Linked DNA regions of Kluyveromyces lactis. The protein of the gene in region 1 interacts with the protein of each later gene in a pairwise test. Links are inferred from orthologs where the notes say so. Each region holds a gene or a part of one and is shown on either strand. Other genes may lie near its edges. The genes, in order: SUB2 and THO1.

What was found.
Region 2: the proteins of SUB2 (region 1) and THO1 interact in a two-hybrid assay, tested with the Saccharomyces cerevisiae proteins (2 studies listed by BioGRID). The link is inferred for Kluyveromyces lactis from reciprocal best matches to the Saccharomyces cerevisiae genes SUB2 and THO1.

The regions. Positions count from the first base shown.
Region 1 is NC_006041.1:1,958,371-1,961,709, forward strand, and holds SUB2 (ATP-dependent RNA helicase SUB2), read left to right. Parts: upstream 1-1,399; coding exon 1,400-2,713; downstream 2,714-3,339. Other genes in the region: KLLA0_E21913g (uncharacterized protein), read left to right, coding at 1-1,040; FDO1 (Fdo1p), read right to left, coding at 3,256-3,339. UniProt on the Saccharomyces cerevisiae protein: ATP-binding RNA helicase component of the TREX complex involved in transcription elongation and required for the export of mRNA out of the nucleus. SUB2 also plays a role in pre-mRNA splicing and spliceosome assembly.
Region 2 is NC_006039.1:719,344-722,106, reverse strand, and holds THO1 (Tho1p), read left to right. Parts: upstream 1-1,518; coding exon 1,519-2,250; downstream 2,251-2,763. Other genes in the region: KLLA0_C08217g (HAD family hydrolase), read right to left, coding at 1-354. UniProt on the Saccharomyces cerevisiae protein: Facilitates RNA binding of SUB2 and likely plays a role in mRNA export. Suppressor of the transcriptional defect of HPR1 by overexpression.

The DNA.
Region 1 (3,339 bases):
CGTATTCTCACTTATCTCAAATGAGATTCAGCCCGGAAGCAGAATCCGACATGGTGCGAAATATGCAGGGTTATGTATTAGCTTATGGTAATCTGCCATTGATCTCAGATTTAAGAGAGTGCATACCCAGCACAACAAGGGCGGTACACTTGGGAAATAAATGGATCACTGGTTTCATAAGACGACATGGGGAAGAAACGGTATATGGTATGACGGGCGAGGGGGTATTGAACGCTAAATTTAAAGATTTTAGGCAATGGAAAAACAAGTTTAGTCAATTGCATGATTTATTCCTTCGGTGCTTGCAATCCAAATTAAAAAGATGCCATCAGTTTTACTACATCTGTAAATACGTTCCACATGGCTCAAACGAAGCCAATAAGATGATATTTTTTGCATTAAAAGTGAAGATTCAGCAGGTAAATGCTGGCACAGAGAAAGATGTGACAATATCTTTGCTATGTGAACCAATTACAAGGGAGTTAAGTCCCATCTCTCCTGAAGAAGCAAAGGAACAATTCTTACAAGATCTAAATTCCATTTTGAAACGTATAGACGCTAACTCTACGGACCTAGTCGTTTTGGAAGGGTTAACACAGACGGAACATTGGGACTGGTCACAATGTCTAGAATTAGTCAAAACGCACAAGCTAAACGGTAAATTGTATACGGTTCCCTGGGGAAATGACCTACTCACGAATTGTTTAAACAAGGATAATAATATTGCGGTCACTTTTGAGAAAATCACACAAGATTCGAATTCAGCGGTGGCTACCAAAGATATGGTTAACTTTACCTCTGTGTCTGTCATGCTTAAGGAAATAATCACCAACGCAACGCCGTTACCAGCCGTTGCCATCAATAATTCGCGCACTCAAAGGGACGCTATACGGCAATTAATTCGAACTATATCTGAGAATGAGTCGCGGTTGTATAGAGAAATACATGATCCTGATGCCCGTGTCACTCTTTGCAACATTTTCAATCAAGCGCGCTTACTTGAAGAGTCATTATCTACTTGCGCTGTTGAACTCACGTGACTTGTTATTGTCATTTCTGCATTTAATTGGGTTCTAGATTACCCGCATTATTTCACGTGATCAACCAATGTCACTTCTCAGTGGCAAAATTGACTGCTTACATGTAGTACGTGGTATCACTCCTGACGACAGTGAAATATATCTGTTTTAACGACGAAATGAGAACGTAAGAAAAAAACAGCGAAAGGTAAGAGAATTTCAAAACAATAATTTGGCATAGATTATGAAGAAAAGGTGCGTGTTGTGCTCTGACGGTTGTTAATTGAATTAAGGATTTATACGTGTTTAATCTAAGGATAGAACTTGTTGAGAAGCAACTTGGTATTGTCAACCACAAGGAAGAAGACCCAACCGAAACAATGTCTCACGAAGCAGAAGAGGATTTATTGGAGTATTCCGATAACGAACAAGAAGTTCAAGTTGACAACAAGGCCACTGAAGTGAATGCCGAGGGTAACGGTGAGAGCCAAGCAAAGGATTCTGATAAGAAAGGTTCTTATGTTGGTATTCACTCCACTGGTTTCAAGGATTTCTTGTTGAAGCCAGAATTGTCCAGAGCTATCATTGACTGTGGTTTTGAACATCCTTCTGAAGTGCAACAACATACCATTCCTCAATCCATTCATGGTACTGACGTCTTATGTCAAGCTAAGTCTGGTCTAGGTAAGACTGCTGTGTTCGTGTTGTCTACTTTGCAACAATTGGATCCAGTTCAAGGTGAAGTCAGTGTCGTCGTGCTATGTAACGCGAGAGAATTGGCTTACCAAATTAGAAACGAATACTTGAGATTCTCCAAATACATGCCAGACGTTAAGACTGCTGTATTTTACGGTGGTACTGAATATAAGAACGATATTGATTTGCTATCCAAGAAGGAAACCGTCCCTCATATCATTGTAGCCACTCCTGGTCGTTTAAAGGCTTTGGTTAGAGACAAGCATATCGATCTATCTCACGTCAAGAACTTTGTCATTGATGAATGTGACAAGGTCTTGGAAGAATTGGATATGAGAAGAGATGTTCAAGATATTTTTAGAGCCACCCCAAGAGATAAGCAAGTTATGATGTTTTCCGCAACTCTATCCCAAGAAATCAGACCAATCTGTAGAAGATTCCTTCAAAATCCATTAGAAATCTTTGTCGATGACGAAGCCAAGTTGACTCTACACGGTTTGCAACAATACTATATCAAATTGAATGAAAAGGAAAAGAACCGTAAGTTGGCTCAATTGTTGGACGATTTGGAATTCAACCAAGTTATCATTTTCGTCAAGTCTACTGTCAGAGCTAACGAATTGACCAAACTATTGAATGCTTCTAACTTCCCAGCCATCACTGTGCATGGTCACATGAAACAAGAAGAACGTATTGCTCGTTACAAGGCTTTCAAGGAATTCGAAAAACGTATTTGTGTTTCCACTGATGTTTTCGGTAGAGGTATTGATATCGAACGTATTAACTTGGCCATTAATTATGATATGCCAAACGAAGCAGACCAATACTTGCATCGTGTTGGTAGAGCTGGTAGATTCGGTACCAAGGGTTTGGCTATCTCCATGATATCTAGTGAAGATGACGAACAAGTCTTGGCCAAGATCCAAGAAAGATTTGATGTTAAGATCACTGAGTTCCCAGAAGAAGGTGTTGATCCATCTACTTATTTGAACACTTAGATATTTCATCATAGCGTTTTACTTCAGAATTTTTTACCAAAACTAGAAAATTGCAAAAACAAGCTGGAATGTGTATTATCAAATAAAATGTGGTTTTTATACAGTTTAAAACGAATTTCCAATAGTCCCATTATAACTAAGTAACATAATTGGAGTATAAGTGTATAAAATCAATTCAATTCTCATGAAAAAAAGCTTCATTGTATGTCGGGTTTAGGTATTAGTGTTTCCTCATATGCCCTTGCAGATAATTAAAGCGGAGACGTCTGTCATGAATATAATATAAACTGGATTTATGTGATGTACATAAGGTCTATCAAGCCGCTTGTCAGCTTTTACAGGTGAGAAAAGTAAACATATGGGCCTTTCTGGACAAGCAGGTTACGCTTTCTGTAGTCGAACCGTGTCATTGGCGTGGTTCGGCAGAAACGACGTCTGTTTCTTTTATTTTTATGTGTTATTATTGTCATTTGGTCTTCCTGCAGACGAAAATAAGAAATAGAATAATAACTCTGGGGTAAAAACAAATAAAGAGTATGTTCTTACAAGACATCCTTTACAGTCCCATCTGCTGTATTAAAACTCCGTAATTTTGGTAGTGCCGCACCTTTCGGAAGCGATGGCCT
Region 2 (2,763 bases), on another chromosome or scaffold:
AGCCCATTTTTCCTTTGGAAGCTTGTTCAATTCACCACACAATTTACTGGCACCTGGAACTTCGATAGCGTGTTGACCGAATTTTTCTGGGATTTCACCTTCCAACTTGGTGACATATTCTTCGTTGGCGTAATCTGGAGCGAACTGCTTGATAACATCGTATGTTCTCCATCCGTGAGAGATATCGATGACATGTTGGGAGTCGAAGTAAGGCTTGTCCTTACCGAAATCTCTCCAGAATTCAGCAATAGCTGGTTGAGAGATGATCAAAGTACCATCAACGTCGAACAAAGCAGCGTTGACTCTTAGAGAGATAGGTTGTTGAGCAGTGTTAGAGGCGGTAGCAGCAGACATTTTTTCTATAATAATTGTAATTCTTAATGAATTTGGTTGTTGATGTTCTTTTAGAATATACAATTTGTAGTAGAATAGGGATATACTACAAAGTTTATGATGACTCTTGAATTCAAATTAACCATGATTCGATGGCCTTTATATATTTTGTTTCTGAATCAAACGTCCCGTTTCTTATTCCAATACCCAGTATATACATAAATTAGATAATAGACAATAGACAATAGACAAGAAGTTCAAGTAGTCACGATAGAAAGGACAAAAATGCGTACCACCAGTTACAAGATACCTCATATTAGGGTCTTTGATAATTTGGCACATAGTGAAACCAACTAAAAGAAAAGAGAGACAAATGAGGACTGATAGGAATACATGATATGATATGACACAGATCAGAAGCATAGATGATTACCATACAAAAGTAACAGCCAAAAAAAAAGAACAGTGCATGGAGTAACTGACACTCGTCACCAGAGAGCCAATGCGAAAAGTAACCCAACAGGAATCCCGAAACAAAAGAAAAAGAAGCTTTGGTTTCTTTTTGTCATTTTATGGTGAGCCATTTTGGTGGCAGCTGGTGTAGTAGCTGTGAATCGGAATCAGTCGCTAAAATCTTTTTTTGTGCAGAAAGAAGAAATAAAACGGAATAGGTGATGGATAGGGAAAAGAAAAGCGACAAGGAGGCAAAGGAGGGACAAGCGATTTGGGAAGCTGCGTAGGTGGCTTGGGGAGTGCAGCCGCACGGGGTGGACAAATAGAAGAACAAGGACAGTTGTCCCTGTGAGTCCATTTTTGTGCAAAGGGGACAAGCGGGATGTCCCCTCCCCTCTTCAGAGTGTTTTTTTGTCTCTTTTTTCTTTTTTTGCTGGGTCAGGTGGGAGGGTCAGATTTCTTTTTGCCTTATGGAGGGAGGACACACGAGACACGAGGCTGGAAGGTGGTGGGCAGGTGTCCTTTAGGTAACTTAATGGGTGGGTGTTGCCTCATTTGGAGATAAAATTGAAGGTGTGCGTGAGTAATCAGGGCGGGTAACATTGAGCTTCTCTTTTTGTTGTTAAAAAACTATTGTCCAGGGTAACGTGTTACCCTGGATGTCCGGGTAAGAAGTGTTCTTTCTTTTACACGCACACGCACACGCACACAGTTTGTTCATGGAAACTTAACATGTTGACATTTGATATATGTATACGTATCTTGGAAACGACTTATTGGCATGCGCGACTACCGAGACAATTGGAAAGTAAAACCTCCTCTTTTCCCGACCCGAACTATTCAAAAACATATTCTCCTTTGTTCGCTATGTCGTATTCTGGTAACACCGTTGCTCAATTGAAGGAGTTGTTGAAGCAAAGAAATCTATCTACAGATGGTTTGAAAGCAGACCTAATAAACAGACTACAAGATGATGACTCCACAAAAAACAGTGCAACCAATGAACCATCGTCTATAGCGGAAGTAGAAGCGACCGCTTCTGCCACCGCTGCCGCTGCCCCTACGATAACTTCTTCCATCCCAGATGCTGTACCTGCAGATGCATCAGCTGCGGTTCCTGAAAATGAAAACGTACCATCTACCGAAGAAGACAAACTCGAAAAAACTCCTCCTGCTACCCCAGCCCCAAAGAATCCAGAGCTATCGCAAGATCAATTGAAACAAGCGGCCATTGACCATTTACAGAAAAAAATCTATCGTGCTGAAAAATTCGGACAAGATGATTCTACCATCGATGACTTGCAAAGGCAGATCAACCGTATTGAAAAGTTCGGTTTAGATTTGTCTACCCAATTGGCTAAGGAGCTAGGATTCGGTAAGGGTCCCGACGCAGCCGTCGGTAAGCCAGACAGGAAATCCTTCCAGAAGAAAAATCGTAATAAATCAAACAACAAACGCCGTTAATTCCTCTTCATAAGCGGAACTCGTAGTACCCACCCATCCCTTTAAAGAACAAACTTCCCAAAAATGATGTAAAAAGAAGATTTTCCAGATCTTCTTTACAATTGTTCCGTACTCTCTTCTTGTCGCATTAGTTGTATGTTATGTAATATATATTCAATTGATGAGTCCTTGACCACTCATTCTCTCTGTCAAGTAAAAAAAAATAAAAACGAACCTTACATAATTTGAATCCAAGCACCGGTCAATTACTGCTCAATATATGTCTTTTCGATGCGCATTGGCAGTGCATAGTTTTTTTACATTTCAAATAAGACTACTGCTAAGTAGCGGGAACCTTCGATAGACAAAACTGAGAAAAAAAGAGTGAAACAGAAAACATATCGTCAAGTTTAATACTTATAAAATTTGGCGCTCGCTTCCTAGTATAAGCCTCGAAGAAAATTGTAACACAGAGCCGAGAATTTGTTGTGATTTCGCAACTCATCGGCTTTTTTATCAAGCGAATGTGTCTCC